Saccharomyces cerevisiae S288C: one gene and its partner. The gene in region 2 interacts genetically with the main gene of each other region. Each region holds a gene or a part of one and is shown on either strand. Other genes may lie near its edges.

Region 1 (5,739 bases), on a different chromosome or scaffold from region 2:
CAGCAGGAACTGGACTCTTTTAAAGAAAAACGATCAGTAAGACACTGTTCTAATCAAAATGTACAACTCAATGGTCCAGCTAAAATCAAAACAATAAAACAGCAAATTGATCATAATACTCCAATGAAGAAAGGTTCTATGATATATAACCCGAAAACTATGAAGTGGGAAGGAAATGAAAACGTCTTAAGCAAATTTAGTGATGTAGACACGGCAAACAGGAAAGCTTTATTGATAAAAAACAAGCTACAACGAGATGCAGATTCTAAGAAGCAAAAATATTCTGATCTACAGCATGCAAGAGCCACTTCGAGAAATCAAAAGGTCATCGGGAACATGATTTTAGATGAACAAAATTTAAGATGGGTTAGTGTTTCAGAGGAAGAAGCAGACCCTTTTGCAGGCATTCCTGAGATAAACTTACCACCAGTTGGCAAAAGTATGAAAAAACGTAGCTCCTCACCATTTTTGCGTTCCAAAAGCCAAGTTAATACGCCATTTGTTTCAAATGACAATGATGGCGTTTATCAAAGTACGGCTGCTCAAGCAAGACTCCGTAAATACCATTCAATGAGGACACTTAACGGTACAACAGAAACTCCAGAAATAAGCTCTACTTTCCATTTGAGTTCAAGAGCATTGGAAAAATTTTACCACGAGGAGAACAGGTGGTGTAAAAAGTTAGCCTCATGGTTTATACCCCGAGATGAGACCATTATCAGTGTTGATGAGGAAACAATCATGGATGAAAGTACGGTCAATAGCAAGAGAAAATCCTATATGTATGAAATCAGGAACATGGTAATCAATTCGACAAAAGATTAGCCCTTTAGCCTTCTTATAACTGTTTCTTTACCGTTATCTTGAGTACATTCATTTCTCTTACATTCCAAAATTAGATAGAACCTTGAATCGTGTCAACTTTTCGCCGACATTTCGCGTCTGACAGAAAAAGAAATGTTGCAGAAAATTCGAATAGATGTTTCAAATGAAAATAGACCATGAGGGACACATTAACATTTCAAACAAAAGAGCCCTTGATGATTATTAAAACAGATCTTTATGGTTTGTTTAGCAAACACTTTGGTAATTTCATGAATATTTGACTAGCAGGAACAGAAAATCAAAAATGTTTAACCATGATTGGAAGTACTCCATTAATTCTAAGACTTTCGCCGATTTAAACATTGAATTATTTCGAAACCACAAGTTCAAAACTGTTTTAAATTACATAATAGGTGTAGTTGGGTGGAATGGATTAAAACTCGCCCTTTTTGTTTCTGACATTTACACATGTATCAAATTGCTGGCATTCAACTCCTGGTCAAACAACATCATCAAACCATACTTACCCTTTAAAATATCCAAATGGTTGTTTAGCGGTTGTATTTTAGCATCGATTGTGCTATTGATATGGGAGGCTATAGCGGGAATGAGGATTTACAAAACGGGAAATATCTCTTTGACTTATGTCAACAATTTTTCCAGAAACCTAAATTCAGTGCTCAATTATTCCAAGTTTTGTGTTTATAATATGATCGAACGAAAGGGTTTTCGACAGAAAATGACATTTTTTACTTTTTTTCAACTGAAAGATTGTATTAGATTAATCTTCACGGATACCCCAAGGCAAGTTATTAATGGTCTTACGCTGTGGTCAGTTCTCGTAACAGTAAATAAAAACGAGGATCTAGGCGATCTGGAATCATTTACCGGTTTGATCAACAAAATAAAGAACATTGGCCAGACCAATCATGAAGAAGCAGTGATATTGTCGCTGATGCTATTTTCCTTTATAATCTGGGCATTATTTGTCTTCAAGTTTCTGCTTGCTGTCATTTGCTCGATTTTTGTTTATTATAAAATAATCAATGATCAGGAATATAGCGGGTTGCGTGAGTACATTTGTGTTACCGTCAGCGAAAATGTTGATGAACTTGTTGAAAGACAAAGGAAAAAGGAAAATGATGACACGATTTATAAGACAGGTCTTCTCGAATCTCAGACTTTTGACGATTTTAAAGAAGTTGAAAATAAAATTGAAACATCTTTTAATGATACGTCATATGCTTCTAATAATGATTCTATGATTGAGCTAATAGAGAGAAGACCCGAATACAAAAGTCAGGATGTATGTGGGCCCATTCCCACAATGAAGAAAACGGAAACAATGGAATCGTTCGTTGACAATGGCAATCCACAATATACCACTAGATTCTCTGCGATTCTAGATTCACCATATATCAACAGCTATGAAAGTAATGATATAAAGAAAGCAAAAATACAAAGCAGAAGCGTAAATACTCCAAAATATGAGGATTTGTCTTCTTCTGACATTTTCAACAAAATACACTCTGCTGGACAATTAAAATCTACAACTTCTATGGAGTTTCACGGGCCATTAGATTCTATGCCAAATACAACAAACAACATCCGTAATTTTAATAGCAACAGTAGTAGACCTAGACCACCTCCTTTACAGACAAAAAGTTCGATTAATTCAAAAGCTGACTCGAATGATAATGGAAGGATTTATACACCAATGAAAGCGTACTTCAGGGAGCCTGATCTTCCGAGGAAGGGTTTGCTGGAAGATGAAGATCGTACATATAATTATACTTAATAGGCTGGCAAAAGCCCTTTGCATATTTCATGAATTAGATAGACGTGATTAGAAACAGCCGTTAGTATGTTTCTGATAAAAATAATACTTTTTTTGTAACACTATTTTCATATATTGGATTGATACCGGTTATAGCACAAACATAACAGCCATGAAAGTTTCTTTGAAAACCCCTTTTAACATTTGCTTGTAAGAGATAGGTTAATTTTTTATAGTTGCTGAGATTCCATTGTTGGTAAAGACTTAATATTAGGTATACAGAATATACTAGGAGTTCTCTCTGGGTATGTAGGAATCCACAAAAGGGTGTCACTAGTTCAACATAATAACATCTTTTTTTTATTCCTTCTTTGATATTTTGTCATATTATCCTATTATTTTATCAATCCTTGCATTTCAGCTTCCAATAGATTTGATATTTGTTTCTCAATATTATGTCATCTTCATACACAGTATGTGATAATATACTAGTAACATGAATACTACTAAATGAGTACTACCTTAGGGGTTCATTACAGCAGCTTAAGCGAAAGTAGAAAATGAGGCGGATATTTGTTGGAATAAAAATCAACTATCATCTACTAACTAGTATTTACGTTACTAGTATATTATCATATACGGTGTTAGAAGATGACGCAAATGATGAGAAATAGTCATCTAAATTAGTGGAAGCTGAAACGCAAGGATTGATAATGTAATAGGATCAATGAATATTAACATATAAAATGATGATAATAATATTTATAGAATTGTGTAGAATTGCAGATTCCCTTTTATGGATTCCTAAATCCTCGAGGAGAACTTCTAGTATATCTACATACCTAATATTATTGCCTTATTAAAAATGGAATCCCAACAATTACATCAAAATCCACATTCTCTACAATATTGATTTCCATCGTGTAAGTTTTCTGCACGAAGTTTATTCATTCAATTTGAAGTGCTTCGTAATAATATTACTATGCAACTTAGGTACCTCATATTTCTTAGAGTTCAACCAAGTTGGTTCCGTTGGCGTAATGGTAACGCGTCTCCCTCCTAAGGAGAAGACTGCGGGTTCGAGTCCCGTACGGAACGTTGATTATTTTTTTTTTTTCGTTTCTTTATAGAAAAAATTCAGACGATATTACCTTGCGATGAGATAATCTTACCGCAGAAAGAGTGCCACAGTGGTAATAACTAGTTGAAGGTTCATATTATATAAAAAACTCTAAGAATAAAAATGGTATCTAGTGCAGTTAAATGTGGCATATGTCGCGGAGTTGATGGTAAATATAAATGTCCTAAATGTGGCGTACGATATTGCTCCTTGAAATGCTATAAAGATGCTGCAAAGCATGTTCATAAGGAAAGCGAACAACCCAGGGCTGGTACAGAAGCTAATGTGGAAGTTGTTAATAACGATAAGATCATAAACAGTTCACTCGCAATGAATAAAACATTAAAGACGAAGGCATTCGATGATATATATCAAAATAGCGCAGAATTGCAAGAGCTGTTGAAATACAACACGGTGAAGTTCCATTTGGCAAAGGTTTATAGAATTTTGTCCAGTACTGTTAACGATGGAAGTTCTGGAAAAATGAACAGCGATCTACAAAAAGAACTAGCTGTAAATTATTTGAATACATTACGATATGGTGGTATACATTATAATGAAGCAATTGAGGAATTTTGCCAGATTTTATTAGATAAATTAAATGCGGTGAAGAAATAAGAATTATCGTTGTTAGCATGATTTTTAAGATTGAGCATTTTATTCATTTTTAACCATATAATAGTGAAGGTGAGGACTAATAACAAAGTACTTGTTGAAAGGGTCGGGTTGCTTTTAGGTTTTTTCTTCTCGTTAAGGATTTCCCACTTGTCTGGCAAGGCGTCAAGCAGACTTGGAAAATAATGATATTATGTCAGAATTTTTGTGTGAGGCGCTTCTATTGCAAGTTTGTGACACCTTATAATAAAAGTGAACCATGTATTTACATATGATTAGGGAAAGTTCCACCATCATCTTATGATCTTCATGGCCGTTTTGGTCTTCTTTTTAACTTGAAGTCCAACTTGGCGACTGTACATATATACATATATATAGCAATAAGTATAACAAGGCAACAAATCAGGTCCCATTATTTAATTTGAAGTCATCTACTGCCCCATAAGAACCTCTATATTATCAGTAGATTCTTTCTTTTAGGGAAATCGAACCTCGATATTGTAAGAGAAACCCGCGCCACTCCTAAAAAGGTATTTTGAAGGAGAGGATGATTTGGAGCAACATTTGGTACACTTTATCCTCAGTTTTTCGCTAACTACCTCGCAACTTGTTGTTGTGGATGAAATTTTTGATATTAATTTCAATAAATAAAATATATGCAAATATCATTATAATTTGTCAAGTGCGGGAAATAGACTATGCAGTGATTTAGTGTGCAAGTTTGCCCACTTCACATTCATACCAAATATTTCTTCCCACTCATTTTTATCGTATTAGCACTACATACGTGACTTTTTAGCTCAGCTTTCGGACTGGATAGCTTTACTGACTTACTTTCTACAAGCGATATCATTCGTCACAGTACTCCAAAGAAGTCTGGGCATTTAATTTTCTTCTTTATCAAGTCCGCCATTATGAAGGAATGTATTGGGTAATAGTTGACATACCGATGTTCTGCTGGTAGCATCGATGAACGAAAATAGGTAACGGCTTGCCGCTGAAGATATTGGAAATGAGACAGATCATTCTAGGGTAAAATGCGCTGTAGAGCTAGCGTCAATTGCGATTTTCGAACACTGGCTGCAGGTATTTCTGTTTTCTCGGCTTTCATTATAGTAATGTGAAGCTACTAGGAGAATCACGAAACATCTTTTTAGTAGGATGAGAACACCACGCTCTCCTAACTGGAAGTAATTTTTGGTATGCTTAGAGATCTGTTCCTCTCTTATGACTTCTTTTTCGCCTACTATAAACTTAATATCAACATATTTAGTTAGTTTTTTCAGAGCAATACGTGTTTATTTTTTCACAACTTCGCATGGCATTATGTATCATTGCAGCGTAAATTTTTACATTTAGTAATATCTAATAACATATACACAAAAAAGGGACAGATTTTTGA
Region 2 (7,994 bases):
TCGGATTGTGTTCCACTTGCTTTCGATATTTTAAACTTATTAGTGACGCATTCAGAGTCTAATTCGTTAGAAAAACTTCACGAAGAATCCATTGAACGTCTAACCAAAAGAGGTTTATCGATTGTGACTTCTTCTGGTATATTTGCGAAGAACTCCGACATGATGATACCTTTAGATGTAAAACCTGAAGATATCTATGAACGTAAGAGAATAATGACAATGATTTTATCAAGGATGTCATGTTCTGCTTAGAGGTGTTACATAAACTAATGAAAGAAATATCAATATCTATCTGTAAGCATGAATGTACATATCTCATGTTAGGGTTTTCTTATCGCTAATTTTTCGCAATTTGTTACGTGGGTTGCTTTTATACAGCTACAATTTTTATATATTCTATCGTGTAATGAATGGCTCAGTAAATTCAAGCGCCACATAGACTAATGTACATACCAATGCATTTTAATTGTAAGAATAAAAGGGGCCATTCATCTACCGTCTTAGTTGAAAGTGTTTCTGTGAATTTTTTCAAATTCCGTTTTTTCCTTTTTATATAATAGCATGGTGGCACGAGCATCTTCGACTGAAGAATGCTCACCTTCTTGAATGGAAATTTTTAAAACCTCCCTGGTTAATTTCTTTAAGCTGGGTGTTTTACCCTTAGCATACAACTTCCTGAATGGGAGGTGTCTTGAAGTGTCCCTGAGTAGTGACTTTGGGTGGGATAACATCAATGCTTCGAGATCATGCTTTAAAGCGTGCCCTACAAGAATTCTACCTTCCAGAATATCCGCAGTCTTTTTTTGAGCTTCTTTGAATGTAATGGCATTTTTCATATGCTCTGGTTTAATACCACTAACCCAAGTTCTCCATTCTACAACTTTCTCTCTTGGCTTAACAAATTCATCGAGGACGACATGTCCAAAATAATTTACGATTGATATTCTAGCTAACGCAGACTCTTTACCCTCGGGACCAACGCCTACAAATTCACAATCCATGGCGATGTATTTCCCAATTTCTTTACTCTTATTACTATTAATACGAGTATCTTCCGAAATACCCACTTTTACTGGCTCTTTAATAGTAGTACTAGTATTTGCTTTATTTGGGTTGAATTCAAACACTTTTCCCTCGAGCTTGTCTTTCTCATGCTTACTAATCTCCTTGTTCATGTTATATACCATGTCCATAATTTTACTGCCGTTTTTGCGCTTTCGAGGGGCATATTGGGTTGTACTACTGACATTTACTGTTTTGCTAACTTTCTTAACGTTTCTGATTTTCCTATTTGATTGCTTATTCTTTCCATTGGAGGTAGGATTGCTTTCGGAGGCTAATAGTGCCTGCCAGTTTGAAGAGAGAGCCATTAAAACTGTACGCTATCTACTTTATTAAATCTGTAAACGTCTATGAAGCCTCTAGAACCAGGCTTTAAATGGATTGTGGTTGCGATGAGGTTAGTTTAACTTTTGAAATTTTTCTTTTTTTTAGCCGACCTTACATATCAGCCCGCGTCAAAAAATATACGGTATAATAATTCTCAATAGATACAGGCTACTGAACAGGAAAACTAAATAAAACAGTGTTTGTAAAACCCCCACCACACCATAATAAGACGATAATGGACACGGTGACGGTATTAAATGAACTGCGGGCTCAGTTTCTACGAGTGTGTCCGGAGAAAGATCAAATGAAAAGAATAATAAAACCGTACATACCCGTAGATGAATTCAACACAGAGCAGTGCTTAGATTCTTCTATCCGTGAATTATATATGAACTCAGACGGCGTAAGCTTGTTACCTGAACTAGAGTCTCCACCGGTATCTAAGGATTTTATGGAAAACTATGCTTCATTAGGGAAAATGAGGATAATGAGGGAGAATGAAGGCCAAAAAGGAAAGGCTAACCAGAATTTAATAGGAGCAGAGAAGACTGAAAGAGACGAGGAAGAAACACGAAATTTGCAAGATAAAAGTGCAAAAAATACTCTGATAGTTGAAGAAAATGGAACACTTCGTTATAATCCACTTAATTCATCTGCGTCGAACTCTCTTTTAAATGATGACGACCATACCAGTGGAAAACATCACAAAACTTCCTCAAAGGAAGACTCATATTTAAATAGTTCGATGGAAATGCAGAAGAAATCTAGTAAGAGATCGTCGCTTCCTTTCGTGAGGATATTCAAAAGTCGAAGGGACCACTCAAATACTTCTGGAAATAAAAATGTCATGAATACAACTAATACAAGAGCAAAATCATCTACTTTGCATCCACCTGGTGCTCGCCATAATAAGAAAGGCAGTAAATTCGATATGAACTTCGATTTCGATGAAAACTTAGAAGAAGAAGATGATGACGACGACGATGACGAAGAAGGTGACGATATACACTCTCAATTTTTTCAGTTAGATGATGATTTTGATGCTAAGGGTTCTGGAGCAAGTCCAGCCCACAAAGGCATCAACGGCATGTCCAACAATAAAAACAACACCTACACAAATAACAGAAACAGCATCAGCATTCTTGATGATCGAGAGAGTTCAAATGGCAATATAGGAAGTGCTTCAAGGTTAAAATCTCATTTCCCCACAAGTCAAAAGGGGAAAATTTTTTTAACTGACAATAAAAATGATGGACAAAAATCTGATTCACTGAATGCCAATAAAGGTATACATGGAGATGGAAGCAGCGCCAGCGGTAACGGATCGGTGAGTAGGGACGGTTTGACGGAAACGGAAAGCAACAATATTTCCGATATGGAATCTTATATCAATGAAAAAGATTTAGATGATTTGAATTTTGATACAGTGACCTCAAACATAAACAAAACAGTATCTGATTTGGGAGGACATGAATCTACAAATGATGGAACGGCGGTCATGAACAGGGATTCAAAAGACAGCCGCAGTAATAGCAATGAATTCAATGCACAAAATCGTGACCGAATCACTCCTGGCTCATCATATGGGAAGTCCCTTTTAGGATCTGAATATTCCGAAGAACGTTATTCTAATAACGACTCGTCAACCATGGAGAGCGGTGAAATGTCTCTTGATTCAGACATGCAAACTAATACTATACCCTCTCATTCCATACCAATGTCTATGCAAAAATATGGCATCTATCATGGCGATGATGACTCTACCTTAAACAATGTCTTCGATAAAGCCGTACTGACTATGAATTCATCGCGACACCCAAAAGAAAGGCGCGATACTGTTATATCAGGAAAGGAGCCAACATCCTTAACCAGTTCTAATAGAAAATTTTCTGTTAGCTCGAATTTAACTTCAACAAGGTCTCCTCTTTTACGAGGACATGGAAGAACTTCATCGACGGCCAGTAGTGAACACATGAAAGCCCCAAAGGTTTCTGACAGTGTATTGCATAGGGCAAGGAAGAGCACGTTGACGTTAAAGCAGGACCATTCTCAACCTAGTGTTCCATCAAGTGTCCATAAAAGCTCGAAAGAGGGGAACATCCTTATTGAGAAAACCACCGATTATCTAGTGTCGAAACCGAAGGCCTCACAGTTATCGAATATGTTCAACAAAAAGAAAAAGAGAACAAATACTAATTCTGTAGATGTGTTAGAATATTTTTCATTTGTTTGCGGAGATAAAGTACCAAATTATGAATCAATGGGTCTCGAAATATACATTCAAGCTTCCAAAAAATATAAAAGAAATTCCTTCACTACCAAAGTCCGAAAATCGTCTACCATCTTCGAAGTTATTGGATTTGCTTTATTTTTGTATTCTACTGAGAAAAAACCGGACAATTTTGAAGAAGATGGATTGACAGTTGAAGACATTTCTAATCCTAATAACTTCTCTTTGAAAATTGTCGATGAAGACGGTGAACCTTTTGAGGATAACTTTGGTAAACTAGATAGAAAAAGCACTATTCAATCAATTTCGGACAGCGAAGTTGTTTTATGTAAGGTTGATGATGCCGAGAAGTCTCAAAATGAAATTGAAACACCTTTACCATTTGAAACTGGTGGGGGCCTAATGGATGCTTCTACTTTGGATGCTAACAGCAGTCACGATACAACTGACGGAACCATCAACCAACTAAGTTTCTACAAACCTATTATAGGTAATGAAGACGACATCGATAAGACAAACGGTTCGAAAATCATTGATGTAACAGTATATTTGTATCCTAACGTGAATCCCAAATTTAACTATACTACCATAAGTGTTTTAGTGACCTCACATATAAACGATATTTTGGTAAAATATTGCAAAATGAAAAATATGGATCCTAATGAATATGCATTAAAAGTTCTAGGAAAGAACTATATACTGGACTTGAATGATACGGTATTAAGGCTCGATGGTATTAATAAGGTGGAACTCATCTCTAAAAAAGATGCAAGGGAGTTGCATTTGGAAAAAATGAAACCTGACCTAAAGAAGCCCGTTTTGCCAACGATCCAAAGTAATGATCTAACTCCGTTAACTTTGGAGCCTCTGAACTCTTATCTCAAAGCAGATGCTGGAGGGGCTGTGGCTGCCATTCCTGAAAACACGAAAGTTACATCCAAAGCTAAGAAGATATCCACGAAGTATAAGCTGGGCTTGGCAAAGCAGCATTCGTCATCAAGTGTTGCTAGTGGAAGTGTTTCAACGGCTGGCGGTCTCGCCAATGGAAATGGGTTTTTCAAGAACAAGAATTCATCCAAATCCTCTTTGCATGGGACACTGCAGTTTCATAATATAAACCGTTCTCAGAGTACGATGGAGCACACGCCTGACACTCCAAATGGAGTTGGAGATAACTTCCAAGATCTTTTTACCGGAGCGTATCATAAATATAAGGTATGGAGAAGGCAGCAAATGTCATTTATAAACAAGCATGAAAGAACACTAGCCATTGATGGCGACTACATATACATTGTACCCCCGGAGGGACGTATACATTGGCATGATAATGTAAAGACTAAGTCGTTACACATTAGTCAAGTGGTTCTTGTCAAAAAATCCAAAAGAGTCCCTGAGCATTTCAAAATTTTCGTAAGAAGAGAGGGGCAAGATGATATCAAAAGGTACTACTTTGAAGCAGTTTCAGGTCAAGAGTGTACTGAGATCGTGACGCGATTACAAAACTTATTAAGCGCTTATAGAATGAATCATAAATAAGTAAAACCCATTATACTGCATCTTACCAGCATTAATTTTGGTTTATATCTAAATATGGTATAGAAAATACTTCATCGCGATCTCGATGGTGATTGGTCAGAGTCCGCTTCTCGATGCAAAGGGAAAAAAAAGAGCTTTTTAGGAGCAAGTCCCCCCATAGAGCACATAACTCGTTAGCATTGAATAAGGCCAGGTGACTTCAAATAATAATTTATAACTACGACAATGGGTGCTGCTTATCATTTCATGGGGAAAGCTATCCCTCCACACCAACTAGCCATTGGGACATTAGGACTGCTAGGTTTATTGGTTGTTCCAAATCCTTTTAAAAGCGCAAAGCCAAAAACAGTCGACATCAAAACAGACAACAAAGACGAGGAAAAATTCATTGAAAACTACTTAAAGAAACATTCGGAAAAGCAAGATGCGTAAATATAGCTTGATTGCTGCGCGGTTGAAGATCTTTTGTACATACAATAAATATTCTTTATATATACAGCTTTCGATATTCAAGATTTAAACATTAAATTATTAAAAAGAGGTCTATAACTAGACAGTTGCTACATCCACTCTTTTCTTGTTATATCTTTTTAATATACAATGTTATGTAAAACTCTCTGATAGTATTATGCTTATTATTTAAACAAGGCATCGTTTGATAAAGGATCGGCGGCAAGAACATTCTCTCTTCTCTTAATTTTTCTTTCCACAGCAGCTTCAGCTCTAGACTTTGCCTCCTCAGCAGCTTGTTGTTTAATTTGAGCTCTTACGACGTTTGGCGAAACATATTGTTTATTTTCATAGATCTTTGGACCACCAAATGAACCTTCTAGGATCAAAATGACAGTCATAACAAACCTAGGGCCAATTTCCACTAATGATATGTCTTCTTCGCCATCTTCATATTCTTCTTTGTTCTTAGTACTGTGTGAGATCTCATATGTCCTCACCCATATTTTATCATCTACAATACTGAAGGACATGACGTGATCAATAAATGGCTTAGATTTTCTAGCATTTGGTGGTACACCAAAATTATGCACTAGCAACTCCTTAATTAATTGGTAGTGTGGGGAGGATTCGAAACGTTGATCAAACGACAATACCGGACGAGAACCCTTTAAACAGTTACCTGTAAAATTCAACTCATCCATAGTATGCAAGTTTTGAATGTAAAATTTTATAGTTGGCCCATTTGGCGGCTTGGATAACCATAGATACAAATCTTGGTGTTTTCTGGCCTCAAAGAATAGAACATTATTACAATTGTACAACTCAGCGATTTCGTTCAACTGTTGAAGATCCTTTTTAGTATCCAATTTTGGCTCCTTTCTGGAATGAGGCAATAATCCGCTTAAGTCTTGAATTAAATGACGATGTCTATAGTTAACACCTCTACTCGAAATCAGAAGAGTTCTTTGCTTGTTCATAAATTGCTTGACATTGCCTTGCTTCTTTTCAGATTTATTATCTTTGCTCTTTCCTGCGAGGGCTTTGTAGATAGAAGACATCTTTGGTTGAACTCTTTCAACACCTGACGAATGTATAAAGAAAGACGTGAAGCAAAATAAGGCTAAGTAACCTTCTAACTCGTAAATATTATAGCAATTTCTGTATCTTTTTAGGTGATAGATTCTTTGAGAACCATCGCGATGAGCATCTAAAATTTTTCAGTCACCTTTAACGAAAATCACTGTCCACGGACCGCCGAGGGCTTTAGGAAAATAAATAATAAATGTCAGCTGCAACAGAATTCATTGGCGAAGCAACGATACATAACGAGCTCGGTACAGCAATCATCGCATCGAAGCATGTCCGACAAGATACAGGAGGAGATATTAGGACTAGTAAGCAGGTCCAACTTCAAACAATGCTATGCAAAACTGGGGCAATTGCAAAAACAATTTCCCAATGCGTTGTACTTCAAGATTTTGGAAACCTATGTTAAATTCAAGCAGTCACCTGGTAAGTTCGATTACAATAAACTGCTAGAAGAACCATATGGGCTGAAAGGGACAACGATTACGGGCGACACGCGTTCCTTGGAGTTTTTGCACAACTTCTTCGTAGAGTTAGGGAAATACGACGAAGCATTGCACGTGTATGAAAGAGGAAATTTCAAATTCCCTAGCTACGAATTGTCTTATCACTGGTTTATGAAAGCATTGGAAGATTCCAATTATAACCAAATGAGCAAAGCATCTCTACAGCTAGCTAAATACAGTGACAGTGGAAACCTGCCTAAAAGAGCATATTATTTTTGGAATGCAATCTCGATTTTAGCCGTATCAAGGTTTCAGGAAAACACTCTTTCAGATCCCAAGAAAATTTTGCTCTCCAGGCTAGCGCGCCAGTCTTTGTTAGACTTGAAACCATTTCAAAATGTTCAAGAGATTATAGTTTATTGTTTGGTGTTGGATGAACTATTCCCTCAATCTAGAGAAATCTCGGAAGAGATTGTTGCGATTACCTTTGCCAATTTTGATACTTCAGTAAACTTGTATTTGAAAAACTTTATCTTGAAGCATACCAAGTTATTGAATTCTCCACAAAAACTTTTTGAAGTTTGTTCAAAACTTATTGAAAAGGGCCTTGATGATTATGAATTGATCACAAACTTGATTGATGCTGCCTACAAACTTTCTAAATCTAAAGACGAAGTCAAACAATGGATTGATGAAAATTTGGGAGACTCAAGGAATACTCGATTGGCGCGCTTGAAACTTGATATAATGTACACCGATTCGGTTTCGGAATCATCTTTGTCGTACTATTTATCAAAGTACCATAACAAACCTTGTTGTTCAATCGATTTGAATCATTACAGCGGCCACATTAA

What was found.
Region 1: mutations in REX4 (region 2) and HIT1 together harm fitness more than expected from each alone (negative genetic interaction), as found in Saccharomyces cerevisiae (one large-scale study listed by BioGRID).

Annotation. Positions count from the first base shown.
Region 1 is NC_001142.9:534,927-540,665, forward strand, and holds HIT1 (Hit1p), read left to right. Parts: upstream 1-3,845; coding exon 3,846-4,340; downstream 4,341-5,739. Other genes in the region: BFA1 (Bfa1p), read left to right, coding at 1-825; KCH1 (Kch1p), read left to right, coding at 1,130-2,623.
Region 2 is NC_001147.6:180,058-188,051, forward strand, and holds REX4 (putative 3'-5' exonuclease), read right to left. Parts: upstream 1,371-7,994; coding exon 501-1,370; downstream 1-500. Other genes in the region: Ras GTPase activating protein IRA2, read left to right, coding at 1-252; AVO1 (Avo1p), read left to right, coding at 1,625-5,155; ATP19 (F1F0 ATP synthase subunit k), read left to right, coding at 5,381-5,587; ribosome biogenesis protein BRX1, read right to left, coding at 5,791-6,666; MDM20 (Mdm20p), read left to right, coding at 6,967-7,994. UniProt on the Saccharomyces cerevisiae protein: Exoribonuclease involved in ribosome biosynthesis. Involved in the processing of ITS1, the internal transcribed spacer localized between the 18S and 5.8S rRNAs.